Ovis aries: one gene and its partners. The protein of the gene in region 3 binds, or shares a complex with, the protein of the main gene of each other region. Links are inferred from orthologs where the notes say so. Each region holds a gene or a part of one and is shown on either strand. Other genes may lie near its edges. The genes, in order: SNIP1, SCNM1, DHX16, CWC15, SNRPD2, SNRPD3 and PPIL2.

Region 1 (3,500 bases), on a different chromosome or scaffold from region 3:
TCGAGGGGAGAAAAAGAATCAGGGTGACTTCTAGGTTTTTTGCCTGAGGAACAGGGTGGATGGTGGCACTAATTATCCAGCTGGCAGAAAACAGAGGAAAGTGTCTTGGGTGGTTGGGAATCTAGAGTTGCTATCTAAGTGAGAAGTTCTAGTAGGCAGTTACGTATGTGGAAGACATAGGACCAGAAAAGTGAAGCTCCTGATTCTTTTAGTGTGATCAGCAAAGACATGGTGTTTGTGTTAGTTGGATATGCCTGATGCTTGGAGCTGTTTTGTATGAGGGAATGAAAGTTGAGATAAATGTGTGTACCATTTTCTGAACAGGTCCCCAGCCAAAAAGAAAAACAAATCCTCAGGGAGAAGAAGCAAGTCTCCCCGGAGTAAGAGAAGCCGAAGTCCTCACCACTCAGCAATCAAAATAAAGCAGGTAAGTGGACTGAGATGTTTTCGTACTGGCTCCAAACCTAGAGCCTCTCCATCATAGCTAAAGTGGTGTGTGTGTGTTTTCCTGTACCTGCAGTGGGCTTCTCCAAAAACTGGGCTTTTTTTTTTCTTTTTTCTTCTTTCTTTGTTAAACTTTTTATTTTGAGATAATTGTTGATTCACATGCAGTTGTAAAAGGTAATACAAAAGCCACAGTTTGTCCCAATAGTACCATCTTACAGAATTATAGAACAATATCCCAACCAAAATGTTGACATCAGTTCTGTCAAGATACAGAACATTTCCATCACCACAGGATTCCTCAAGTAGTTCTTTTATATCACACCCAGTTCCCGCCTACCCTTACCCCTCCAACTCCTGGCAGCTTCTAGTCACTTCTCCATTTCTGTTATTTTGTTTCCTCAAGAATGCTATGTAAATAGAATCACACAGTATGTAGCCTTTCTGGATTGGCTTTTTCCACTCAGCTAAGTTCTTTTGGAATTCATTTATATTGTTGCTTTTGTCTGTAGTTCCTTCGTTTTTATTGCTGAACTGTAGTCAATGGTATGGATTTAACCATTTGTCCATTAAAGTGTATCTGGGTTGTTAGCAGTTTTTGGCTATTAGACATAAGACTGCTGTGTATACATTTCTGTACAGGTTTTTGTGTGAACATAGGTTTTCGTTTCTCTGGGATAGATGCCCAGGAGTGCAGTTTGTAGATGGTATGGTAGGTGCTTTTTTTTTTTTTTTCCTAAAACATTAATAAATTGTTTTCCAGAGTGCTGTGTTAGTTTGCCAGGTCTTCCATAACAAAATACCACAGACTGGTTGCCTTAAACAACGGAATCTAAGAGGCTAGAAGTCAGAGATCAAAGTTTCAGCGGTTTGGTTTCTCCTGAGGCCTTTCTCCTTGGCTTGCCTTCTTTGTTGGGTCCTCATAGTCTTTCCCTCTGTGCTCGCCCATCTCTGACTCACATCTTCTTTAACCACATCAGCCATATTGGATTAGGGGCTTACTCATTTTAACTCAATCAGTTCTTCAAAGACCTTACCTGCAAAAAATCTGGTTACAGTCTGAGGTGTGGGGGTTGAGACTTCAGTATGTAAATTTGGAAGGGGCGCAATTCAGTCCTTACAGTGGCTATCCCTTTTTATAATGTGAGTGATCCAGCATTTGGTATTGTGACCATTTTGACCATTCTGATAAGTGATAGTGATACTGTGATTTTAATTTGCATGTCCCTGGTGGCTAATGACGTTGGGCATCTTTTCATGTGTTTATTTGCCATCTGTGTTTCCTCTTAGGTAAAATGTCTCTTCAGATCTTGTGCCTATTTTCTAGTTGGATTGTTTTGGGTTTTTTTACTACTGATTTTTAAGAGGTTTTTTTTTTTTTGGTAATATATTCTTAGATACCAGGCCTTTTTGGAGTGAGAGGTTTTCCAGTATTTTCTTTCCGTCTGTATCTTGTCTGTTCATTTTCTTAAAAGAGTTTTCCTCAGAGCAAAAGTTTTTGATTTGTTTGGAGTCCAGCTTGTCTGTTTTTCCTTTTACAGATTATGCTTTTGGTGTTATGTCTAAGAACTTCCCTGACCCTAGAACCTGAAGATACGTTTTTCTTTAATATTCATTTAAGTCCATGATCTGTTTTGAGTTTGTTTTAATCTAAGGAAGGAGCCTTAAATCAAATTTCCTTTTTCGCCCCGTGGATATCCATTTACTCCAGCACTAGGTGTGGAAAGACAATTTTTCCTCCCTTTAATTGCTTTTGCTTTGTCAGAAATCAAAAGTGTGTGTGTGTGCCTTTATTTCTGGGTCCTCTGTTCTGTGCCATTGATCTGTCATTCTGCCAGTACCACAGTCTTGATTACTGGAGCTATATAATAAGTCTTAAAATTGAACAGACTGGTTCTTTCACTTTCTTCGTTTTAAAAATTGCTGGGACTTCCCTGGTAGGCCAGTGGTTAAGACTCTGAGGCATAGGTTTGGTCCCTGGCTGGGCGGAACTAAGGAGGCACATGCCACAGGACATGGCCAAATAAATAAATAATTGTTTTAGGAATTCTCGTGCCTTTATCTTTCCACATACATTTTAGAACAATCTTGTTTGTATCTATTGAAAAAACTTGCTAGTATTTTGATTGAAATTGTGTTAAACTTGTACTTTTTGAAAAATTTTAAAAAATTATGTAGCGTCTTCCAGTCTTTGAATATAGGTGTATCTCTGTTTATTTAGATCTTTGATTTCTTTTATCAGTGTTTCAGTGTACAAGTCCTGTATGTGTTTTGCTAGATTTGCACTTAAGTAATTTTTTTAAGTTATCATTAAATGATGGCTCTAGTCCATGGGGTCGCTAAGAGTCGGACACAACTGAGCAACTTCACTTTCACTTTCATGCATTGGAGAAGGCAATGGCAACCCACTCCAGTGTTCTTGCCTGGAGAATCCCAGGGACGAGGGAGCCTGGTGGGCTGCCATCTATGGGGTTGCACAGAGTCAGACACGACTGAAGTGACTTAGCAGCAGCAGCAAGTGATATTTTGAATTTCAGTATTTACTTGTTCATGGCTAGTACATAGAAATATGATCCATTTTTGTATGTTTATCTTACACCCTGTGGCCTTACTGAACTCATTTATTTGGCCTAAGTAAATCCCAACCTAAAACTTGGGATTTTCTGCATAGATAGTCACGTCTGCACAGGGGCAGTTCTGTCTGTCTTCCTTTCCAGTGCATGTTCATTTTATTGCCCCTTGCTGCATGGCTGGGACTCTCGCACTGAGTGGAGCAAGAGCAGTCAGATCAGGCTCTCCTGCCCTGTCCTCATTCCTGAGGGACAGGCGTTCAGTCATCGTCTTGTGCTCTTTCCTCCAAGTTTTATTTAATTTTTGACAGTGCTGGGTCTTTGTTGCTGTTGTGGACTGGAGAATCCCAGGGACGCGGGAGCCTGGCGGGCTGCCGTCTGTGGGGTCGCGCAGAGTCGGACACAACTGAAGCGGCTCAGCAGCAGCAGCAGTGGACTTTCTCTAGATGCAGTGAGCAGAGGCGACACTCTTGTTGTGGTATGCAG
Region 2 (3,980 bases), on a different chromosome or scaffold from region 3:
CTCCTTCTGACAGACTTATTAATAGGGCACCAGGCTGCATGCAGCTGACGCTTGGCATGACTGTGGGAGAAGGTGGGGGAGGGGTCAGAAGTGTGGGGAGCTGTGTACCTTGCAGAGAAGAATTGGCTGGGCTGAGAATGAACAGATCTGAAATCCTGAAACAAGGAACCAGACTCAGGAGAAGCTGGGCTCCCAGCGCCGGCTGTAGTTTATTTGTGAAATGAATGGGGAACGAGGATGTCAGTCCAAGGGGAGATCAGGGGGTTCCTCCTCATCAGAGTCAAACTCAACATTTTCATCTTTTACCCATCGACCTCGTCCATCTGGGATCCATCCAGAGCTGGAAACACCAGAAAATAGAACTGGTCAGGAAAGGAAGTTTATTAAATTAAGAAAAGCATGTGTGCGAGTGCTCTGTCATGTCCAACTCTGTGACCCCATGGACTGTAGCCTGCCAGGCTCCTCTGTCCATGGGATTTCCCAGGCAAGAATACTGGAATGGGTTGCCATTTCCTTCTCCAGTTGGGAATCTTCCCAACTCGGGTCGAACCTGCCTCTTGTGCACTATAGGATTCTTTACTGCTGAGCCTCCTGGGAAGCCCCAATAGTTCTTTCTATCTAACTGTAGTTAATTTCCTGAACTATTTGAAAAAAAAGTTACATATGTAAGGAGTCTTTGTGCATGCATGCACGTGTGCTAAGTTGCTTCAAGAGGAACTGACTCTGTGACCCTATGGAATGTAGCCCGCCAGGATTCTCCAGGTAAGAATACTGGAGTGGGTTGCCATGCCCTCCTCCAGGGGATCTTCCTGATCCAGAAATCGAACCTGCATCTCCTGCATTGGCAGATGTCTTCTTTACCACTGTGCCACCTGGGAAGCCCCGGGGGATAAGTAAAAACACTTGAGAAGCTCTGAAACAAGGAGGGTCAGAGATAAAAGGGAAAAACTGAGGAAAAATTCTGCATACTCACCTTCGAAGGGTGAGGTAATGATCCAGGGCCCGTCTTCTTGTGGGGCTCATAGGTGCGGGGGATGAGACAGTGGCTGACTCCTTGGTCTGTGAGCCAGCCTCAGGCTCAGGTTCTCTACTGATCTTCCCACCTTGGGGTTCAGCCTCTGCGGGTGGCAAAGGGGGACGAGAGACAGAGGGACGAGGGGCTTCCGGTCTGGACAGAGAAGAATCGAAGTCTGTAAAAGCAGTAAAGGAAAGGGCCTAATCTCCTGTGACTCCCAACTCCTTATAGGAGTGCTTCCCAATTTTGTGTTCCTCAAGATATTAGTAAGTGTTCTGCATAAAAAGAATTCTGGAATCCAGTAAATTTAGGAAAGTCTAAATCTTTTAAGGTTTTTTTTTTATCTTATGATTTTGTAGAACCCTTAAAATACACTAATTTTTAATCAAATAGGATTACAAAGCACTTTTTTAGTTACAAAAATCTTTTTCCTGAAATACAAGTTAACACCCCCAGAACACTTAGTATGTCTCAGATTACAATTAGGAAAATAATCACTTTAGAGCTATCTATCTCTTGTCCCTCCCTACCTCTGGCTTTCCCATCCCACTAACCTGTACTTCCGGCGGCAGCAACTGTTATAGTGAGGAGCTCTGTGCAGAGCACTCTGAGTGATAAGTCGAGTCTGGGTTAAGAGAGGAGCCTGGCATGGAGACAGCAGAGTCAGAGCCTTCAGAGCCAGAAATAAGCCAAAGTCCTTTAGCCTAAGGTGTGCAGCACAGTCCTGCCTGGAACACAACTTCCCCTCTCTGATTACCTCTGCTGTGGTCTCTTCTCTCCTGAGTTCATTATGCTGTCTTGGATTCTGCTCTGTGCCCTTTCCTGCTGGCTTCTTGCCATAGAAAAGCTGCAGGCCTGAGGAGAAAGGGGAAGAGGATTAAAAGCAGAGCACCAAGGGTGGTCTGAAGAGATTTTAAGGGTTTACTCTATTGTCTGTCTTTTCCCAAACTTACTGGACAGATGTTTTTTGCCTGCACGGTGGGCAGTCAGCATGGCCAGAGTGTCCAGGACGGGTCGGTGGGGACAGATGGCACAAGCAAAGCTGGGGAGTAAGAAAGATAATTGGTCCCTGGGGAGTGGAGTCTTGGTCATAGGTCCCACCCCGTCCAAGCATTCATTTCCAAAGCCCAACTCCCAAGTCTCCCAGTCTCCATCACCCACATCCCTGTTACTCACTCCCAGCCAAAGAATCCTAGATACTCCCGCTCTCCTCCTTAATAACAAAAGTTCTTGAGTCTCTAACTTCAAAACCCTTAAACTTGATCCACTCCTCGCTCTCACCGTCCATCCCGTAGCATCAGCGCCTCATCCTCTGGGATGTAGCTGGCAAGCAGGTCCCCGACCCTTCGTTTCTGCAGGAGACAGGGGAAGAAGTCCGCACGGGATCAGCTGGATATGAGGGAAGGATAAAAGGGAAATGATAGAGACGAGGACTGAAAGGGAATAAAGACCATGGGAGAACACACATCTGCGGTGAAAAAGGGGTCACCACCACCTCTAGTCTTTTGGTTCCCTCCACTCCGCCCCCCAGTTGTTGCCACAGCAACAAAACAGCTCCTTTACAGCTTTCAGAGGGCAGGTGAAGCTGCTTCGGAAGCACTCCTCTCCGCATACTTTGAGCACATTGAGCTGACTCCAATCGTCTCCTTCCCTCTTGAAAGACATCAAGACTGTGAGCCCCAGAAATCAAAAACTCTATCCAGCCGCCTTCGCCACGCCTTTCAGGCCACCGTAGCAGGAGTGGGTCGTCTCCGTTCCTTCCGGTCTCTTTCCTGCTGGCCCCCTGACTTCCGGGGGTGTGCTTCCACGAATGCACTGCGCGATCCCGGAAGCCAGCTTCTAGCCGGCCGAGGGGGACTGTATTTCTTATGGTGCCCTGCGACCTCACCGGCGCGGGGCCTTTTGGGAAATGAAGTCTTTTTTCAAAGAGCTTGCCGCCGGGCTGGATCCAGGCCCTTTCGTCTTGGCAGATTCGAGGCGTTTGGAATGACAAGAACCTAGATGAGGAGCCCGAATTTGAGGGTGTGACTGATTTGGTTTGGAGAATACCTTTGAGGATCTCTGACGGAGAAAGAGTGCTACAGACTCTGGCTATTGTCACGCCCTTCGCCTGCAACCACAGCCCATATAGGGTGGGCCTGATCTGTTCCTGACCCTAGAGGGCTAACCCCGGGACCGGGCGGAGTCGGGGTATTGGGGAGCCTGGAGGTCGGGCTGCCAGACGTAGGGGCAAATTGAGCTGCGTGTTAAGGAGGCTGCTAGAGTTCAAAGGTCAGGGGTCAACGTAGCGAGTTGTTGTGGGGAGTCGAAAGTCGGAGGGGTGCTAAGGAAAGACTCAGGTAGGGACTGAATAGTCGGAGTACAGATTTGTGGGAAGGGGACTTGCAGGGAGGAGAAGCTACGGCTGACAAGTCGCGTATCGCCGGGGGAGGCGGGGAGACTTAAGAGAGAAGACTGAAAGAGAGGAATCCTCTAAGATACCCATTCTCGGACCGCGAGCCCGTCATTATCGGTCACTTGGCCGGGCCTCCCGGGGTTGTAACCTCAGTGTCCGCAGGGTGAGGAGATGGCTTCTCCCTCTAGACAGGCCCCCCTCGGGGGGTCAGGACTGCTTCAAGGGAGCCGGGCTCGTTCTTATGGAAGCCTGGTGCAGTCTGCCTGCTCCCCGGTGAGGGAAAGACGCCTGGAGCATCAGTTGGCGCCCGGAGACACCCTGGCTGGACTAGCACTCAAATACGGGGTGACGGTGAGTCTTCCAGGATTGGGACGTAGACACCCAATTAGAAGAGGTTTATTCCTCATGAGAATGTATGGCCCTCTAGGCAACTTCCCCTGAAATTTTCTTAATTGTGTTTATATTAACTAATTGTGATAAATTGACTGTGATAAAGGTTTGGTCACCTTTATCTTTTTGTTTCCTCATCTCAGTGTTGCACTGTCTGGTGGGAACAAATCCTGTCCCATT
Region 3 (4,228 bases):
CCTTTTGAGTACACCTCTTTAAGTCCCAGGAACAGGGAAATACTTCCCTCACTAACATACAGTCTGATCTGATCCTAAGGAGTCAGAGGGTTTCTGGGCCACTTCCTTCCCACTACAGTTTAAGTCTATCCTTAGCTGGCGCCTCAACCAGAGACCCAACAGCCCCACCACACCTCCTCTGCATCTTTCCTCCCTACCCTAACCACTCCATCAGGAAGCCTTTCCCTTTGTCTTCCTGGGCACACGGACTCACCATGGCTTTCCGGTCTTCCTCAGCCATCTTGAGGCGCTTCTGAGCCTCTTCGTAAGCCTAGGAGAAGGCAAGAGTGGTCAAAGTCCCCGTGCCCACAGCCATTCCTGTCTAGAATCACAAGGATCACTCAGATGTTCCCTAGCACAAAGAAATGTACCCCCTTCACTGAGGAATCTCTGTGGTTACAGGTTCAGCAGAGAGCCACCTTAGCCCAAAGACCCAAAGAGATGACCAGACTACTGGAGGCGGCTCCTTGTCTTCCCAGAGATCACTATCTGCGGTCACACCCAACCTCAGATCGGATCCAGGGGTCTGCCTGGGGACTGATGGGAAGTGCTGCTCCAATGCACCTTCTTGTCTGACCGCTCCAGGACGTTGCGAGTCCGATCCTTGTCCCGCTGCCGAACCCGCTCAGCGAATGCATCGCGTTCCTCCAGGTCCTGAAGGCGCTCTCGCTCTGTCCGCTCCCACTCATCCTCCGACTCCGGCTTTTCCGTCTGCTCTTTCTTCTCCCTGCAGCCCACCCCGGAGGATTAACTGAGGGCACTCAGAGGCTTCCTGTTCCATCACCCTCTCGCCCCCTACTTCTGACTTACCCTGTCTTCCTCTTTCCTTTCTCAGAAACTTGTTCCTCCTCCTCGTCTTCCTCTTCCTCCTCACGTTTCTTCCTGAGGTGTTTCCGTTTTTTCCGCTTCTTCTGGACACTGCTCCCAGCCCTGCCCACAGTCTCCTCGCTGCTCTCCTCACTGTCCTCCAACAACATATAAGAGCGGTTCTTTTCCAGCAGGGCTCGGGCCTCTCGCTCGGCTGCCCGAGCTGGCTTTTCCACCACTGCCTTCCGTGGGACCTGTCGGGAGAGAGAGAAGTCAAGGGGATGTAAGCAACTCCTGATCTCTGCCCACCTACTCTGCCCAGTTCCTAATTTAAGGAGTAACTGATCTTAAACCAGCTGTCATTCTGTCTCTTCCCCAAGGCTTCACACCATGTCCATCAGCCCGAATGGGGTCTCTCAGTTCCTAAGCCTATCCCATGCACCCCCTGCTAGGTACTAGAGATATAGGGGTAAAGAGATAAAACTTTCTGCCCTCATGGACTTTACATTCTCACACTCAATTCTCAACTGCTCAGCCTCTGTTCTTCCCGATGACTAAGTCATTCCTACCCAAGGACTGGACAAGGATTGTCCAGATTGTTTTGCAGAGCCCTGTCACGGGCCAGCACTGTAGTGGCCTCCAGAGATACCCTGGTGAACGGATTAACACAGAGCTCCTACCCTCACATCAAGTACGTTCTCATCTTTCACCAAGTGCAAATGGGACAGCCACACCAAGTTATCTGCCATGAACAAGTTCAACACTTTTAGTCTTACTGTATAATTTCTGAGCTCTTGTTCTGCAGGTTACAATTAGATGGTATGAATACAAAGACAAAAATCACAGTCTTGCCTTCCAGGAGCTCACCATTACACCTTTACTCTTCCCCTTTCTTTACCCAACAAACTCCAGATAATCTTTGGGCCTGCTTTTCTCGATCACAGCCACACCACTTCTACCCTCCCACAACACTGCCCACACATCTCTTCTATAGACTCACTCTTCGAAGGGTGGGCAACACCCAGCATCACCCGAAAACTTACAAGATTTGTTAGAAATGAAGAAATGAAGAAACCATCCCAGACCTACCGAATCGGAATCCTCATTTTAACAAAAGCCGTGGATGAATCCTAAACCTGTTTGAGAAACACTGCTCTGTAGACCCTTAGTTCAGTTCAGTTCAGTTCAGTCGCTCAGTCGTGTCCGTCTCTTTGCGACCCCATGAATCGCAGCACGCCAGGCCTCCCTGTCCATCACCAACTCCCGGAGTTCACTCAGACTCACGTCCATTGAGTCCGTGATGCCATCCAGCCATCTCATCCTCTGTCGTCCCCTTCTTCTCCTGCCCCCACCCAAACCCTCCCAGCATCAGTCTTTTCCAATGAGTCAACCCTTAAGCCCTCCTCAACCTTCTCCACGGAAGTGGTCGTCCAGCCCGAAAGTGATAACTGCTTGCAAACTGAGCTTAATTCTCCGTTGGACAGTTAGCCCAAGTGAGCCCAAACTCCGTTGGACAAGTAACCTGGGGGCCCCTCCCCTGCTCCACCCACTTTCCCGCCGCTCCCACGCCCGGTCCCGCCTCTCCCAGCACCTTGTTCCAGAGTCTCAGGGCGAAGTCCCGGGCCGGCCCACTGAGGTCCAGGGTATCGGTGTCTCGCAAGCGCTGCACGAACTCCTCTGCCGAGGCACAGCGCTGCGCGGTACCGATCAAGAACTGGGCCACGTGCCGCTCGCTCAGTCCCAGCACCGAGTGCAGCTCGTCTTGCACCCAGCGCTCCAGCCCCGCCGGTGTCGCCATGGCGACAACACGCTCCCTATTCCCGGCCCTGAAAGTGTCTCCAGCTGCCACGTCGGCGGCCGGGCGGGTCGGGGGCCTAGAGCTCCAGGATGGAGCCTCTGCTCCGGAATGGAGCTGCCTGAGAACCGAGGGGTTCGGTTTCCGATAGTCCAAAACAATCTTCCTGGACCGCTGAGGCCGGAAGTGGCTGCTCTTTTCCGGCCTATGCACTACGGTGGCCGAGCGAGTTCAAATCTCGCGTAATTGTACGCGAAGCTCGGAATAAAACATTTTCATTTCTTCCCCTACTGAATTTCTGTTGCCCTCTGTTGATCATTCGTGAGTATTACACCCATTCATTTCATTCAACTATATTAAGAACCTAAAGTGCCTGGTGGCTCAGGTGGGTAATGGCACCCCACTCCAGTACTCTTGCCTGGGAAATCCCATGGATGGAGGAGCCTGGTAGGCTGCAGTCCATGGGGTCGCGAAGAGTCGGACACGACTGAGCGACTTCACTTTCACTTTTCGCTTTCATGCATTGGAGAAGGAAATGGCAACCCACTCCAGTGTTCTTGCCTGGAGAATCCCAGGGATGGGGGAGCCTGGTGGGCTGCCCTCTATGGGGTCACACAGTCAGACACGACTGAAGCGACTTAGCAGCAGCAGCAGCAAAATGCCCGGTGGCTCAGGTAGGAAAGAATCTGCCTACAATGCAGGAGACCTAGGTTCTATCCCTGGGTGGGGAAGACCCTCTTGGAGGAGTAAATGGTAGCTCACTCCAGTGTTCTTGCCTGGCGAATTCTATGGGCAGAGGAACCTGGCCTACTACAGTCCATGGGGTCACAAAGAGTCGGACATAACTGAGCGACCAACACTTTCAGTGTGGGCCAGGCACAGTTTTAGTACCCAGGGATATAGCAAGGAACAAATCAGAAACAAATCGCTTACTGAATTTACAGTGGCAGAGGGTTGGGGGTGGGGACCAGCCTGACAGAGACAAGATAAAAATATAAAATACTAAGTTATATGGAGCCAAAAATAATGCAAGGTGTGTGTGGGCGCTTGTGGGGTGGGGCATTCAAATTAGAAGATCAGGTCCATGCTTGTTACAGATCAACTAATTAGGAGTGACCTTTGCTAGGACCTTCTGCAAGACATGAATACAGGTTAGGCTTATCAAGGACTCCAGGCAGATGAAAACTCAAGATGTGGAGAACAAGCAAAGGTACCCTCTTTTCTTGGTGCTATCTCATAATGTTATTTTAAAAGATCTGCAAACTAAGAAATATGCAAATTGTATTCTGCTTTTTTTTTCTTTTGCTAACAGCTTGAGAAAGTCACTGGTGTCTGCTTAATTTTAAATAAGCAGAACTTGTTGCTTGACTGCTGTCTGGCCTCTGGTTCTGCTTCATACTTGTACAATTAATTGGATTTATCTGACACTGTGTTGGGAAACTAAACATTTGTTATTCCAACTAACAGCCACAAGTAGTTCCACATCATTGATGTCATGAGTGCACTGTTTTCTGTTTCTGAAATGGACTGTGAACACCCCTGGCATCTCAGAGCTTCTTACTTCTGCTTTCCTGGGTCAAAACTAAT
Region 4 (4,289 bases), on a different chromosome or scaffold from region 3:
CACCAAGAGCTTAGGTCTTAAACATGACAGTAGGGACTATAACAACAGTGGCAGGCAAGTAAGTCCTTGACAAATACCTGCCGAATGAGTTAACAAAAGTATTGATTTTATTATGGAAACTGTAGCCTCAGGAAACTTAGGATACAGTTTACACATGCTAGAAATAAAAATGGAAGAATTTCATAGACAGAAACCATGGGGCCTTAAAAAGTCTGGCTGCTGTAAATAGTCAAAAACTCCTTAATCTGAATTGAAATAACAGTTGCTAAATATCCCCTAGCTCTTTCTAAAACAGAGGCATAATAAGATGAAATTGGTATCAACTTCATTATCATCTCTAATCCAATCCAATATAATCTAATCCAATCAATCCAATCCAATCTAATCTTTCAAGAAACTGCTATAGCTCTCACCCCACATTTAAAAGCAAACAAACAAAAATAATAATCCATTCCTATTACCACATGAAAGAAAAACTACTGTCAACATAATGTTATGAGAGATGTCTAAGGTAGTATTGGTACCTCGGGTTGGCCGATCTCTGTTTTTTTCTCTTGCAGCAGCTCTCTCTCTCTCCTCCAACTCTCTCCTGAAGTCACGGTTTCGAACTTCTTCAGGGGCATCCTGAGTGGTCTGTCTAAAGTAGAAACAAGACAAGGCAAAGTTACTTCTAAAAAACACACGGCTGTAGTAATGGAAGACAATTCAAGAAACACAACTTCAGCCTGAGTCCTAAAGCAGAAAACTCCACTAGGGGATAAACAAAATCATCAGTCTAATCCAAAAGTTACTAAGAGGCATCCTGTGATGTCTAAAACCTCACACTAAATCAACATACTTTTAAGAACCTCAAACTAAATCAACAACCTTTAAGAACCTCAAACTAAATCAACATACTTTCCCATAGTAAGGCAGCAGGTTGATCAAAACGCTTATACTTTTTGTTAGTATGCTAACTCAGGGCTTGTTACAGCAACACTTTTAATCTCATACTGATTTGTATTGATAGTGCTTGCTCCTCCTGACAGAATGTATTATTAGTCATTGTTCAATCTACATATAGAAATTCCTGGTTAACTGGAATTTCTGCTTAAGGAATATCTGGTAGCACTTTAAAATCATGGAGCATAATTCTGGGTGTCTGAAACACTACTACATTCTACTCCTATGAAAACAGATAACTTGAGTGATAGTAACCCCAACATGCTACCTCATGACCACATCATTTAACAGACTTGGTCTTGCTTGTGAAACAAAAACTAAAAGGCTTCATTACCTATATTTTATCTTTGTATGAGAGGGTAGGTCTCTGCTTGAATACTGCTTTGAGAGTTGGCTCAAATCACCCTCACCTTTTCCTCTTCCACCTCTTGCAGGTTCAAAAGTTGGCCGAGCTGCTGTTGTCATCTTTTATGCTTTGAAGAAAAACACTGTCAAGTTATTTTCAATATGACAAACTCTCATTTTGAAAAGCATTAATCTATAGCCATCCTTGTGAAATAATTTCCCTAGCTCATTCCCTCAAACATCTGTGACCCCTGGCAAGCCACCAAGTTTAAGTTTCTGTCATCTGTGAAATGGGGATATTCCTCAAAAGGTTATTAAATCAGGAGACGTGACATATCAAAACCTTTATAAAATACAGTACAGCCATGTCTGAATTTAAAACATCTCCACTCAACCTCACGCCACCGGACTCCTTACTCCCATTTCATCTAAACCTCACACAGCAGAACAGGCTAACAACTACAAAAGCAAAGACATCTTAAAAAAAAAATCACTGACAAAGTTACTGAGTGTTCTAGTAAAAAAAGTGTGTTAAGCTTCAATGACAGTTACATAGGCAAATATCTCCAACAATCTTTTGTTGATCAAATTTCCTCCAGTAGCAGCCAACATAATATAAATTAGATCTTTTCCAAGTTACAATTTAAGAAATGCTGGAAACACAAGAGCCCACCCTCAAAGGACTGTAATAACCAAAAATTAGGGACCCGTTTGTGGTTACTGAAACATCCTCAAGCGTCAGAGAAGCAAGTGTCAGGGAAAAACTGGGGGAAATGATATACTTCTCTAGATTTTCCGGGGAAAAAAAAAGGGAGAGGGATGTATCCAGAGAGACAGAAACAGGGTTTCAGGTCTCTGGGGAGCATCGCCGCCTCCCCCCCAAAACAGTCATCCCTGGGGCGGGGAGTTCACCTCCGGGCTGTCGCAGGGAACTCGCTGACTCTTCACCCCTATCCCAGGGGGCGAGGGGCGGCCCTCTGCCGAGATGCCTTGGCGCTGCGCTCTCGGGAGCCGATCGGAGACCAGGGACACGCTCGCTAGGCGCGGAGCCCCACCACCAGTTCGCAGCTCCACCGCCTCCTCCGCATTTACGGGCTCTCTGACTCCGCCCCCAGCTTCCCCTTCCGGCCCCACCGACAGATGGCTCTCCGGTCTGCAGCTCCTGGGCCTCCGCGGCCTAAACCCGGTTAGCTGACTCCGCCCCCAGCTGCCCCTTCCGGCCCCGCCCACAGGCCGCTTTCCCCGTCAGGCCCCTGTGGGGACCGCTCAGTCAGCACTGGATTCTCTGCCTCCGCCCCCAACTACCCCTTTCCGGCCCCACCCACACTAGGCTTTCCTCGTCTGGCGCCTCCAGGGCCCGCACCGAGTTCTCTGCCTCCGCCGCCAACTGCCCCTTACGGTCCAACCCACAGTCTGCTTTCCTCTTGCCGCTCACTTTGGCCGAACTCCAACGCCGCTACCTCCGGAGATCATACAGACGCCATCTTGACTCTCCGCTCCCAGAAACCTCTGCACCCGCGGCCCAAAAAAAAAAAAAAAAAAAATCCCAAGACCCGGAAGCAAACCCCAAGCTCGTCAGGCGCCCGCGGAGGCAAGGACCAGTCAGCGGAGACCAAGGTGGAAGTCGAAGTGACGACGCACGGGGCGGGGCTTAAACGGCCCAGGGGGCGGGCATTTGAAATCAGTGCTTTAGAGTAGACCCTGAACGTTGTTGTGTAGCTTCGAGAGTCAATTAATGTGTGTTCCGTCTTTTCCTTTTCCGACCCCCTCCCAGATTCCTTCATTCCGGTACTGCGTAAACGAAGAGCCCCGAGTAGCCGACACCAAGTCCCCGGCTAGCGAGAGAGCATAGAAAAGGATTACACCAAACTGTTTAAATCCAACGGCTCCTGCTTCCTTACTCCTGAGCTAGACCCAACAAGCCTAGAGAGTTGGGCTACGGAAAGTAGTATTTGCATTTAATTGGATATGAAGAAAGAACAAATATGTACGGGGGCAACCACGATCTTTATAAAGGTACCATTCCTGCAAAAATATTAGTCTTCACAACGAAGGTTGTATTCGTAACGTTCGTTAAAATATTTACTTTTTATAAAAGCCTAAGTTCTAGTGGGAGGGGAGGTGTCACTGTCGAGATTCATTTATATACTAACAGACATTGAACGTTTAGAACGGTGGCCCAACTGCCAGGAGCCCTAGATGCAGTTACTATTGTAAGATGGCTACTCATGCGTTAGGGAAAGTTTTCATAAGGTAACGAACAGGAAAATTAAAAAATCACCAATCGTCCTAACTCCTTCCCCCACCAAAAGCCCTCTGGGAGCATGGATTTTGTTTGCCTTTCCAGTTCAACTTGGTATCTAATCACATAATCCTTGGCCACAGTAGATGCTCAGTAGATATTTGTTAAACAAATGAAAATTGAACTCCCCCCACCTTAGTTTCAAATGTAAAGAGCTCATAACATCGAACAGAAAAAAGCTTTCCCCACCAACGCCCCCAGAACTCCTTGAACGTTAAATGAAACAAAGCATAGAAAAAGTCCCTTCCCTCATAAAATTCAAATTGCTAATCTTGATTTTTCTTACCAAAGGTATTAATTACTCTCCTAATCTGCCACATCTCAGTAAAGGACACTACTACCATCAGGCTAGTTACTCAAACCAGAATCCCAGCGCTCCTCTTAAATCCCTTTCCCTTCACTTTTCTCATCTAGTTTACTTGCAAGTCTTCCCAATTCTACTTTCAGCATATACCCCAAATTTCATTCCACTGCCTTAGTCCAAGCCAGCATCATTTTCTACCTGGATTGTAATTGTCCCCTAATGATCTTCTTGCTCCCACTTTTCTCCCACAGTTAACTTTGCCTGTAAAAGTGAGAGTGATCTTTTAAAATCGTGAACCAAGTAGTGTTACTCTCCTGAATAAAAATTCACTGCACTTAGAATAAAAATCAAATTTCTTAATGTGACCTGACCTGAGTTCTTAGGGTTTGGTTCCTA
Region 5 (4,136 bases), on a different chromosome or scaffold from region 3:
TACAGAGGGCAGGTCTTCGCAAAACCAGGGGGAAAGTTCTGACAGCAGGGAGGAGGCCCTACTTGCCAGCGATGAGCGGGTTCCTCAGGACCACGATGACAGAGTCCCCGCGCAGGAACATCTTGGAGATGTAGCGGTCCTTGTTGACTGGCTTGGACTTCTTCTTGCCCTTGCCGCTCTTGGGGACCTCCGTCCACATTTCCTTCACATTCTCCAGCACCATGTTGCAGTGCCTGGTGGGGACGGGGAGGCAGCAGGACTGAGTGAGGGGTGTGTCCTGACCCTTCCTCTGGGCGGCACTGCCTCTGGGAAGGGGGAGAGCCAGGGCTCCGAGGCTCGGGCAAAGGACTTCACCTTCTGCGCCTCAGTTTCCTCGTCTCTAAAATGGAGACATTCATGGTGCCTGCCTCCTATGGCTGTTGTGAAAATTAAGTGAATCAACACACTATTTTTCTTATGGGCATGTGTGATGACAGTGTGGAATAGCTCGGTCAACAAACGTTTACAATGATTAGAGCAATGAAAAAAAAACCAGGTAAGAGCCCTGTCTTCATGGGCTCTGCAGGCTAGTGAAGGGAGAACACGAAGCAGGTAAACAAACACACCTGTAATATACTGTCAGGTGGTAGTAAGTGCTATGAAGAAAAACTAACGCAAGGTAAAGGGATGGGGGGCTTCCCAGGTGGCTCTAGCGGTAAAGAACTTGCCTGCTAATGCAGGAGACATAAGAGATGCAAATTCAATCCCTGGGTTGGGAGGATCCCCTGGAGGAGAGCATGGCAACCCATTCCAGTAGTCTTGTCTGGAGAATCCCATAGACAGAGAAGCCTGGTGGGCCACAGTCCATAGGGCTGCACAGATTCAGACACAACCAAAGTGACTTAGCCCTCATGCACACACACAAAGGAATAGGAGGATACAGGGAACTATGACTGAGTGAAAGAAAGAAAAGAAAAAAATTGGGAAAGCTCTGTATCTTGCTATATAGTAATCTACGGTGAGGAAAGCACTTCCCAAATGCTAACTAAAGGCTGCATGTGTTTACTGAGCATTTATCATGTGTTAGGTACTGAGCCAAGTGCTTTTCATACATAGTATTACTGAAGCCTCATTACTGTTCTGAGGGATATTATTATGACGCATATTTCACAGGTAAGGAAACTGAGGCCCGGACAGCATACCTCCCCAGACCCTGGTGCTCACCTGTCGAAGGCCTTCACGCGGCCCAGGAGCTTCTTGTTGTTACGGCAGTTGATGAGCACTTGAGTGTTGTTTTTGACTGACTGCGTGAGCACGGAGAGCGGCCCCGTGTTAAACTCCTCCTCCTCCCGCTTCTGCAGCTCCTCTGGGGTCATCTCACTCTTGGGCTTGTTGAGGAGACTCCTGAAAAGACAAGTATGGAACCCAGAGGTGAGCAGGCCCATAGCCTGGGTGCTCATGGCCTCTCCCTTGGTGTCTCCCCGACACATATCCCTCTCTTCGTACTCAGTCCTCTCTCTTGCTATCACCACTTGGATGCCTAATGGATATTTCCAATCCTCGCATGACCTAGACTGAACTCCAGACCCCCCATAACCCCAACTTAATACTATCCACAGCCTTCCTCATCTCTGTCAGTGGTGACTCCATCCCTCTGGTTCTTTGAGCAACTTGACTCTTTCTTCTCTCACATCCTACATTCAATCTGTCAGCAAATCCTGCCATCTGCCACTAAAACCTATCAGAATCTGAATTTCTTACCTTGGCTTAAACCTCCATCATCTTTCCTAGGTCTCCTTGCCTCCACCCACGCTCCCCAACAGTTCGCCCTCCACAGAGCAGTCTCAAGGGTGGTGTCAAGAATCATCTCACTCTTGAGTACCCTCTCAGTGTAAACAGTAAAGCCCAGCTTTTACCCTCACTCTGTTCCAGGCACAATGGCCTCTTCAGTGGTTCTTGAAGCTATCAGGCAAACCTTCTTGGGCCCCTCTATTCACTTTTCCCTCTGCCTAGGTACGTCCCCAGGTACCTTTGCAGTTTGCTTTCTCACTTTCTTCAGGTTTTTGCTCAAGTGTTGCCTCCTTCATGCGTTCTGTCTCTCACAAGAGACATTCCACGCTGTTTTACCCTGCTCTGTTATTTCTTTATTCAAAACCCTATTCCCTAACACATTCTAGAATTTACGGATTTATTACCAGCACGTTTCCTGCCTGCCTCTTCCCATCCCGTAAGATGTAGAAGAGGATTTTTTTTCCCTTGGGGAGAGTGGAGTAATTCAGTGATATAAGCTATGCGTCTAAAGCAGCCTAATACACAAACAACTCAATAAATAACTGTTGAGTGACTACATAAGTAAAATCATCCCCATAACTCGTTATCCATACCAATGGCGGATGTGATCGAAAAGCCAATTGTCTCCAGCTACGCCTCTTACCTTAAGACCGCTTTTCCTACAAGTCCGTACTCCTCATCTCCCAGGTTTTTAATTCGTAAAAACGCTTCCTCTTAAACTTCACTTCAATAAGATTGCTTATTTGGGAAAGCCCAGCCTGTTATCTGATAAAGCTGTCCCCGCTCCCGAAGTCAGGATCCTTCAAAGGCCCCACGTCCCCTCGCAACTCATCAGTAGAAAGATACGCCACTTTACCCCCAAATGTTTGCTTCCGCGCCCACTTCTGCCTACCCACTTCAACCGGTAAGTGGCCAAACTTACACCCTCAATCCCACTGCCGCCACCCAAACCCAGCCCGGCCTCACATGATGATGATGGTGACCGCGTTTTCAAGCCACTACCGTCTCCTCCGTGGTGTGCCTCCCGAACAGAGAGCCAGAGGCGGGACTTCCTCTTCCTACGGCCCACTTCCGCGCGCGCCTGCGCATACCCAACCAGCGAGTGGGGCGTGGCCCGTTGCTATAGCGATCTCCGCCCTCGGCGGAGGCTGCCGAGTAGAAGCCTTACTTAGTAAGTAGCTCCAGGCCACCATTCAAGACAGTGCTGGGCAGATATTCACGACCATGGAGAGGAAAAGAAGGCGGGACTGATTAAAACCATTTTGTTGCAGAACCGCATAGGTTGAAAGAGGGGAATACTAGCCATTTCCAAATGCCCGCCCGCTCTGCCTTTGGGGGCGCGGCCTTGGCGAAGCCAATCCCCTCCTCGCTTCAGGGATGGGCACCTCCCCTTTCCTTCGGAAACTGTTGATTTACGTGTATATTGGTTTTTCTGGACCGGGGAGAGGGTCCATCCGGGAGCGGCGTGGATTTGCGCCCAGTAAGGCTAGTGTTTTCGGTGATCAAACGCTTCTCATTGGCTTCCCCTCCTGCGCTGAGGCGGCGCCTACTTCTTACGCTCTCCCTTTTGGGTTGTGCAACCCGGGGGAACCAACCCCCAAAGCTCCCTGAAGACAAGGAGCCGCGTCCTCAGGCCGAAAGTCCCATTTGCTTTACTGCTCGTGGGGGGGGCGGATGGTGCAGCCGCTCTTGTTGTTCATTGGTCTGGCTTATTTCATGGGGCGGGACTTGGCTCGGCCTTAACTCTATCCGCCGTCTCCGACCGGTTTCAGGGCCAAGCTGCCATGCGTTCCGGGGGCCGCGGGCGGCCCCGACTCCCGGTCGGGGAACGCAGCCTTTTGGAGCGACCCTCACCGCCCAAGCGGCGCCTGATACCGCGGGCACAGCTGTTGCCCCAGCTGCTGCTGGCTCTGACAGTAGCCTTGGTGTTCTATACCATTTGGAGCAGCTGGCATAGCCAGACTGAAGAGCTGCCGCTGGGCCGGGAACTGCGGGTGAGGACGGGCGGGGACATGGGCACTGCGGAAGCCCTTACTCCTTGCCTCCCCTTCCCCACGGTCTCATGGGGAAGACCCTAGGTTGGGTTAACCTGGCTTTGTCTTTACCTTATGGCCCTAGCTGCAGGTGCCGCCGTCTCCGTTCTTAGAGCGCATACCCCTTTCCAATGCAATGAGGCTTCGGGCTTGTTTTGTAATAGCGGTTACCCCGTAAGAGAGTCTGGAGTAGTAAGACTTGGAGTTCTGGGTTCTAATCCTAAAGGCAGCTATTTGGAAGAGTCCCTTCCTCTCGCTGGGCCTTGATTTCCCTCATCAGGATTGCCGTGGGCTGCGCAGGATGGGTTTGGAGGGACTTCTAGAAACCTCTGA
Region 6 (2,440 bases), on a different chromosome or scaffold from region 3:
GCACACCCCGTCTCTGCGTCAGCAGCCGCCGCTGTGCCAGTACACGCCGAGCGCTCTGACGAACACACAGGACCCTGCCCCCCGGGTCAGCGCAGCACTGCTTAGGAAGCCAGGGCTGCAGGAGCCACGGGGCTCTGAGTGACCTTCTCGTATTAGATTACTTCTGCTAGGTGCTGAGTCACTGGGGCTTGCAGGCTGTAAGCTCTGGGTCTTGGTTTCTTTCCCCACAGGCAGGACCTGTGTGTCCCGTTGTTTAAGCTGAGCTGACAGTGCTCCTGAAGAGGCTGCCGCGTGCATGACTGTGTGCCAACAAGGGAACCTGTGCGCCCTCGGAGCCCCTCCAAGCGCTTAGCCAGTGCCGGCTGGGACGGCGGCCCCCGTGCTCATCAATAACTGTGCTACTTCAAACTGGCGCTTCCCCAGCACACCTCCCAGGGTGTCAAAGCTTAAGCTGCGGCCCAAGCAAACACAGCAAAAAAACTACAAAAGGAACAGAGTCCTCAGATTCTCAAAAAGAAAAAGCCACCATATTTATTTAGTTTAACATCTTACCCACATCTAAAGAAAATGATGTCAACAGATAACCTAGGACATATACATAGGCACGCACCCCGACCCAGATAACCTAAAACAAAAAAAAAAAAAGCAAAGTTCTGTCCAACAGATAAAATCTATCTTCGCTTCTGGAAGATGTTTCCACGTCCCATTCCACGTCCTCTCCCTCTTGCGGCCACTGAAAGGTAGGGGAGAGAAAAGACGAGGCAGGTCGGTGCGGACCCTCACCACCGAGGAGCCAGTCCAGCAGCAGGCCCGCCCGCCACACCTCACGGGGAAAGCGCCCCCAGGAGGGGCGGGTGGCCAGGCAGAGCTGGAGAGGACACCCTGAACCTGTCTCCTGGCCCAGCACTGCCCCACCAGAAGCTGGGGGCAGGGCCTCGCAGGGACGGTGGTTTGGGGGGCCCGCCTGGGAACCAGAGAAAAGATGAATTCTCAGAGCTGCCCCAGGGTGAGCAAGCAAAACACTACAGATGCATTTAATTCACACGTAAAATTCCGAAACAGATGTCAAGTGTTAACGTCTATTAAATCTGGGTGAGGATTCTTGTTCTCTGAGCTGTTCTGCACGTGGAATGTTTCTGAATGGGGGCCGGGGAACCACAGGTGAAAACCCCAAACCACCCCTCGATGAAGACCGCTGTTCTGACTCAGGTCCGAAGAGGGGACCAGTGGCTTTGAAGAAGGGAAGATACCCTGCCGGCCTCTGGACTCTCCTCTCAGAGCCTGGAGCTGACCCAGGAGGGAAGGCAGGCCGTGAGAACCTGGGGGCACCGCCTCCTAGAGCCCCGACAGAGACGGGAGGGCGGCCCCGAGGAAGCGGAGCAGCAGCTGCAGCTCAGCCTCCGTACCTTCCCCTGGACGGAGGGCCAGGGCTCCAGTCCCCGCCGGGAGGGGCGAGGAGGCTCCCTGACCGGCTCTCCTGGAGGGCATCTGCAAGGCCCCTCGGAGCTCCAAGGCCACCTGAAGTGGGACAGGCCTGCTGCAGTTACAGGCCTGAGGGGCATCCGGGGACCTTCTGGCTCTGTATCGATAGATACTCAGACTGCTCCTAACGACTCACTCGTTTCCTAGCTGATCAACACGGCAGAACTCTTCAGGACCCTGACCCTGAACACTGAGTGGGCTAACCCAGGGAAAACGATCAGGCCGCATCACTGGGAAGACCACGTCCCACTTCTGGAACGTAGCAAAGGAAAATCGCATTCAGCCTCCTTTAACGGGTAAAAGATGGCCCCAGACGGCTGACTTCCCATCTGAGAGTGCCCCTCCCCACACCACCTCTCTCGCTCACGCTGGGCATCAGGAGACACCCCAGCCACACAGGGCCCACCCCCCCAGCCCTTCAGGGCCGCGCCTCTGCTCAGCGAGCAGCGCGGGGCAGGCTCCCCGCAGTCACCACAGCGGACTCATCCGCTCTCATCTGAGCCCGTCTTTCCTTAAGGAGCAGCTGTGGATCTTGTGCGCGTCCTGAGTGGGGGCGAGTGAGGCAAGACCGAGAAGGTGGGGTCTGGGGGTCCCCAGGACTGCGGGGCAGCGGTGTGGAGCTGGCTGCCCAGCCACAGGGCCTCCCTAGCAGGCCCCGGCTCGTCTGCCCGGCGCAGCCCCGCGCCCGCAGCACCTACCCTGGGCCTTCAGGATGGCCGCCTTGCCCCGGCCGGCACCCGAGCCCTGGTTCTTGTTCTTCATGCTCTTCAACATGGGTGCGTTCTTCAGCATGTCGGGCAGAATCAGGAAGCGGATCTTGCTGCCCCGGATGTACACCTGCTCCAGCTGGGCCACGCGGCCGTCTCTGTACGTGACCGTGATGTTGGACATCTGTAAGGGAACCGCCCTCGTCAGTAAGGTCACGGGCACCGGCAGAGAGCAGGGGGCAGGGGGCATG
Region 7 (4,073 bases), on a different chromosome or scaffold from region 3:
GGGTGGTGTTGTAAGCCAGGCTGGGGCCATCACCCGAGGAGAGTGTGAAATAGAGGAAGCGGCGGGAGGAGACCTAGGAGGTCTGGGGAGGAGAGGACCCAGGAGAGGGAACCCAGAGAGCACCGTCTCTGAAGAAACCCGAAAACAGAGAGTGGTGTCCCAGACACCGAGGAAGGGCTTCAGAGGGAGAGCGGTGGTCCGGCACGCCCCAGGAAGCGAGGACAGAGAGCTGACCCCCGGATGGAGCCGCCCCCGGAGTTGAGGGATCCCGACAGGAGCAACGCGGGCAGACGCTGACTGAAGCGGGGTCAAGGGGAAGGCAGAAAACCACAGGGGATCGTCCTCATCTCGCCATTCAGACAGCTCAGCTCAGCCGCCTCTGACCCTGTGACCCCATGGATCGCAGCATGCCAGGCCTCCCTGTCTATCACCGACTCCCAGACACCCTGGAATGTGAAGTCAAGTGGGCCTTAGAAAGCATCATTACGAACAAAGCTAGTGGAGGTGATGGAAGTCCAGTGGAGCTGTTTCAAATCCTGAAAGATGATGCTGTGAAAGTGCTGCACTCAATATACCAGCAAATTGGGAAAACTCAGCAGTGGTCAGTTTTTATTCCAATTCCAAAGAAAGGCAATGACAAAGAATGCTTAAACTACCGCACAATTGCACTCATCTCACATGCTAGTAAAGTAATGCTCAAAATTCTCCAAGCCAGGCTTCAGCAATACATGAACCGTGAATTCCCTGATGTTCAAGCTGGTTTTAGAAAAGGCAGAGGAACCAGAGATTAAATTGCCAACATCCACTGGATCATGGAAAAAGCAACAGAGTTCCAGAAAAACATTTCTGCTTTATTGACTATGCCAAAGCCTTTGACTGTGTGGATCACAATAAACTGTGGAAAATTCTGAAAGACATGGGAATACCAGACCACCTGACCTGCCTCTTGAGAAATCTGTATGCAGGTCAAGAAGCAACAGTTAGAACTGGACATGGAACAACAGACTGGTTCCACATAGGAAAAGGAGTACATCAAGGTGGTATATTGTCACCCTGCTTATTTAACTTACATGCAGAGTACATCATGAGAAACGCTGGGCTGGAAGAAACACAAGCTGGAATCAACATTGCCGGGAGAGATATCAATAACCTCAGATATGCAGATGACACCACCCTTATGGCAGAAAGTGAAGAGGAACTAAAAAGCCTCTTGATGAAAGTCAAAGAGGAAAGTGAAAAAGTTGGCTTAAAGCTCAACATTCAGAAAACGAAGATCATGGCATCTGGTCCCATCAATTCATGGGAAATAGATGGGGAAACAGTGGAAACAGTGTCAGACTTTATTTTTGGGGGCTCCAAAATTACTGCAGATGGTGACTGCAGGCATGAAATTAAAAGACGCTTACTCCTTGGAAGAAAAGTTATGACCAACCTAGATAGTATATTCAAAAGCAGAGACATTACTTTGCTGACTAAGGTCCATCTAGTCAAGGCTATGGTTTTTCCTGTGGTCATGTATGGATGTGAGAGTTGGACTGTGAAGAAGGCTTAGCGCCGAAGAATTGATGCTTTTGAACTGTGGTGTTGGAGAAGACTCTTGAGGGTCCCTTGGACTGCAAGGATTTCCAACCAGTCCATCCTGAAGGAGATCAGTCCTGGGATTTCTTTGGAAGGAATGATGCTAAAGCTGAAGCTCCAGTACTTTGGCCACCTCATGTGAAGAGTTGACTCATTGGAAAAGACTCTGATGCTGGGAGGGATTGAGGGCAGGAGGAGAAGGGGACGACCGAGGATGAGATGGCTGGATGGCATCACTGACTTGGTGGACGTGAGTCTGAGTGAACTCCGGGAGATGGTGATGGACAGGGAGGCCTGGCGTGCTGCGATTCATGGGGTCGCAAAGAGTTGGACACGACTGAGCGACTGAACTGAACTGTCCACTGAGGGAGGTCCCATGCCCTCCAGCCATCTCATCCTCTGCCGTCCCCTTCTCCTCCCGCCTTCAATCTTTCAGGGTCTTTTCCAATGAGTCAGCCCTTCGCATCAGGTGGCCAAAGTATTGGAGCTTCAGCATCAGTCCTTCCAATGAACACCCAGGGCTGATCTCCTTGCAGTCCAGGGCACTCTCAAGAGTCTTCTCCAGCACCACAGTTCAGAAGCATTGATTCTTCGGCGCTCAGCCTTCTTTATACTCGAACTTTTACATCCACACATGTAAAAACCAAACCATCGGAAAAGACTCTTGGAAAGGACTCTTGAGAGTCCCCCGGACAGAAAGGAGATCCAACCAGTCCATCCTAAAGGAAAGCGGTCCTGAATATCGTCTGGCGGTTAAGAAAATCAAAGAAATTCGACGGTAGCTCGGGGGCCCAAGTGGGTTTAACTGGAAGATGCTGGAGCTCGGGAGCGGACTGGGGGACGAGGGACGACCACCGCGCCCGAGGAGACGCCCCCAGGGAAAAGCTGGCGAGCCTGAGGAGCCGAGGGGACTGGACCCCCGAGACCCGCGCCGGAGGGGGAGCCCGCGGAGGCTTCCGGCGAGGCGGCGTCGGCGGGCCGGAGAGCGCGGGGCCCCGGAAACCCGCGCGGAGCGGCGGAGGCTTCCGGGGAAGCGGCGTCTCGGGAGCTCGGGGGCGGGGCGCGGGGCGGACAGGCCCGCTCCCGGCGGTGGCGGCTCAACTCACATCTTGTCCTTCTGGTGCTGTCGCTTCCCCATGGCGACGGCAGGGTCAGCGAGCGCAGAAGACGGGGGAAAAGCACACCTCCGACCGCGGCGTCTCGGACGAACTCCGTAACTACTTCCGGGTCTCGCCGAACCGCCCCGGAAGCAAGCGCTGAGCACGCCGGGAACTGTGGTCCCTGGCTGCCCCCGCCCCCACCCCGAGTGCACGCCCGCCGGGCGCGGAGGCTCCCCGCGCCCGGGGGCTCCCCGCGCCCGGGGGCTCCCCGCGCCCGGGGGCTCCCCGCGCCCGGGGGCTCCCCGCGCCCGGGGGCTCCCCGCGCCCGGGGGCTCCCCGCGCCCGGGGGCTCCCCGCGCCCGGGGGCTGAGCAGTTTCGGCGTCGAAGCCTCCCCGTCTCTGCAGCTTTCTGTGCACCGCCTACCTAGCCTGCCTGCCTGGTCGCAGCTCAACGCCATCCCATCCCAAACCCGCCCTGGTCTGCCCTGGCTTCTCAGGTCTTCCGCTTGGAGCCCGGAAGTTCCCCCGGCCTTGGCCCCATCTCTGCCCCAGGCCGGCACCTCCAGATGGACACCCACATTCGCTATCCGCCCTCTCACCGCTCACCGGGACCGCACTGCCTGCAGCCCCCTCTCCTGGGCTACCCAGGGGCAGGTGGCCATCAAGCCCAAAGGTCCAAAGCCTTCGTGATCCCTTCGGCCTCTTCCCTCGGCCGGACCACCACGTTGGGGTGCCCCAGGCCAAGCCTCAGACCTCCCCCTACACTCAAGCACTGGGTGACCTTGCCCGGGCTCGCGGCTTTAAACGCCTGTATCGCTTGACTCCCAACGCTAAATGGCCAGCACTCAAGACTCCTGCCCTCTACTCGGGCAACCCAGTGAACTCGAATTCAGTATGTCTGCTAAAGCAGAATTCTCCTCCTCCCCCTCTAGGGTCCACTCTCCTCAGAGTACCACTATCCAGCCAGTCACCCCATACAGCTACAAGGGCTTGTTACCACTTGTAATCCTGTACTAATCCATCTGTGTACTGTCTAGCCACACATGCACGCACGCACGCACGCACACACACACACCCTCTCTCTCTCTTCAGGGAGACATGGCTTCCCCAAGAGCCAGGACCCCAACTGCTCGTCTGCTATCTCCAGTCACAAGCAAAGTGCCTGCGAGCTGCGTGCTGTCCCTTCAGTTGCGACTGACTCTCTTCCACCCTTCTGGACTGCAGCCCGCCAGGCTCCTGTCTGTGGGCTCTCCAGGCAAGAATACTGGAGTGGGTTGCCATGCCCTCCTCCAGGGCATCTTCCCAATCCAGGGATGAAACCGGTGTCCCTTGCGTCTCCTGCATGGACAGGCAGGTTCTTTGCCACCTGGGAAGCCCCAAGCAAGGTGCAGGGCA

The links.
Region 1: DHX16 (region 3) and SNIP1 share a complex: the UniProt entries of both Homo sapiens proteins name them as parts of the minor spliceosome. The link is inferred for Ovis aries from reciprocal best matches to the Homo sapiens genes DHX16 and SNIP1.
Region 2: DHX16 (region 3) and SCNM1 share a complex: the UniProt entries of both Homo sapiens proteins name them as parts of the minor spliceosome. The link is inferred for Ovis aries from reciprocal best matches to the Homo sapiens genes DHX16 and SCNM1.
Region 4: DHX16 (region 3) and CWC15 share a complex: the UniProt entries of both Homo sapiens proteins name them as parts of the minor spliceosome. The link is inferred for Ovis aries from reciprocal best matches to the Homo sapiens genes DHX16 and CWC15.
Region 5: DHX16 (region 3) and SNRPD2 share a complex: the UniProt entries of both Homo sapiens proteins name them as parts of the minor spliceosome. The link is inferred for Ovis aries from reciprocal best matches to the Homo sapiens genes DHX16 and SNRPD2.
Region 6: DHX16 (region 3) and SNRPD3 share a complex: the UniProt entries of both Homo sapiens proteins name them as parts of the minor spliceosome. The link is inferred for Ovis aries from reciprocal best matches to the Homo sapiens genes DHX16 and SNRPD3.
Region 7: DHX16 (region 3) and PPIL2 share a complex: the UniProt entries of both Homo sapiens proteins name them as parts of the minor spliceosome. The link is inferred for Ovis aries from reciprocal best matches to the Homo sapiens genes DHX16 and PPIL2.

The regions. Positions count from the first base shown.
Region 1 is NC_056054.1:12,368,528-12,372,027, reverse strand, and holds part of SNIP1 (smad nuclear-interacting protein 1), read left to right. Parts: intron 1-324; coding exon 325-427; intron 428-3,500. UniProt on the Homo sapiens protein: Required for pre-mRNA splicing as component of the spliceosome. As a component of the minor spliceosome, involved in the splicing of U12-type introns in pre-mRNAs. Down-regulates NF-kappa-B signaling by competing with RELA for CREBBP/EP300 binding.
Region 2 is NC_056054.1:101,063,930-101,067,909, reverse strand, and holds SCNM1 (sodium channel modifier 1), read right to left. Parts: upstream 2,801-3,980; 5' UTR 2,681-2,800; coding exon 2,579-2,680; intron 2,405-2,578; exon of another isoform or gene 2,368-2,404; coding exon 2,297-2,367; intron 2,058-2,296; coding exon 1,969-2,057; intron 1,871-1,968; coding exon 1,773-1,870; intron 1,659-1,772; coding exon 1,570-1,658; intron 1,169-1,569; coding exon 974-1,168; intron 341-973; coding exon 241-340; 3' UTR 186-240; downstream 1-185. Other genes in the region: LYSMD1 (lysM and putative peptidoglycan-binding domain-containing protein 1), read left to right, coding at 3,582-3,761. UniProt on the Homo sapiens protein: As a component of the minor spliceosome, involved in the splicing of U12-type introns in pre-mRNAs. Plays a role in the regulation of primary cilia length and Hedgehog signaling.
Region 3 is NC_056073.1:27,451,493-27,455,720, reverse strand, and holds the start of DHX16 (pre-mRNA-splicing factor ATP-dependent RNA helicase DHX16), read right to left. Parts: upstream 2,801-4,228; 5' UTR 2,645-2,800; coding exon 2,438-2,644; intron 1,101-2,437; coding exon 850-1,100; intron 767-849; coding exon 604-766; intron 311-603; coding exon 254-310; intron 1-253. UniProt on the Homo sapiens protein: Required for pre-mRNA splicing as a component of the spliceosome. Contributes to pre-mRNA splicing after spliceosome formation and prior to the first transesterification reaction.
Region 4 is NC_056068.1:15,092,237-15,096,525, reverse strand, and holds the start of CWC15 (spliceosome-associated protein CWC15 homolog), read right to left. Parts: upstream 2,801-4,289; 5' UTR 2,651-2,800; exon of another isoform or gene 2,200-2,650; intron 1,431-2,199; 5' UTR 1,408-1,430; coding exon 1,277-1,407; intron 638-1,276; coding exon 525-637; intron 1-524. UniProt on the Homo sapiens protein: Involved in pre-mRNA splicing as component of the spliceosome. Component of the PRP19-CDC5L complex that forms an integral part of the spliceosome and is required for activating pre-mRNA splicing.
Region 5 is NC_056067.1:53,040,971-53,045,106, forward strand, and holds the start of SNRPD2 (small nuclear ribonucleoprotein Sm D2), read right to left. Parts: upstream 2,801-4,136; 5' UTR 2,739-2,800; coding exon 2,737-2,738; intron 1,384-2,736; coding exon 1,204-1,383; intron 234-1,203; coding exon 59-233; 3' UTR 1-58. Other genes in the region: QPCTL (glutaminyl-peptide cyclotransferase-like protein), read left to right, coding at 3,555-3,764. UniProt on the Homo sapiens protein: Plays a role in pre-mRNA splicing as a core component of the spliceosomal U1, U2, U4 and U5 small nuclear ribonucleoproteins (snRNPs), the building blocks of the spliceosome.
Region 6 is NC_056070.1:71,542,488-71,544,927, forward strand, and holds the end of SNRPD3 (small nuclear ribonucleoprotein Sm D3), read right to left. Parts: intron 2,374-2,440; coding exon 2,181-2,373; intron 734-2,180; coding exon 672-733; 3' UTR 501-671; downstream 1-500. UniProt on the Homo sapiens protein: Plays a role in pre-mRNA splicing as a core component of the spliceosomal U1, U2, U4 and U5 small nuclear ribonucleoproteins (snRNPs), the building blocks of the spliceosome.
Region 7 is NC_056070.1:72,136,005-72,140,077, forward strand, and holds the start of PPIL2 (RING-type E3 ubiquitin-protein ligase PPIL2), read right to left. Parts: upstream 2,801-4,073; 5' UTR 2,717-2,800; coding exon 2,685-2,716; intron 1-2,684. UniProt on the Homo sapiens protein: Has a ubiquitin-protein ligase activity acting as an E3 ubiquitin protein ligase or as an ubiquitin-ubiquitin ligase promoting elongation of ubiquitin chains on substrates.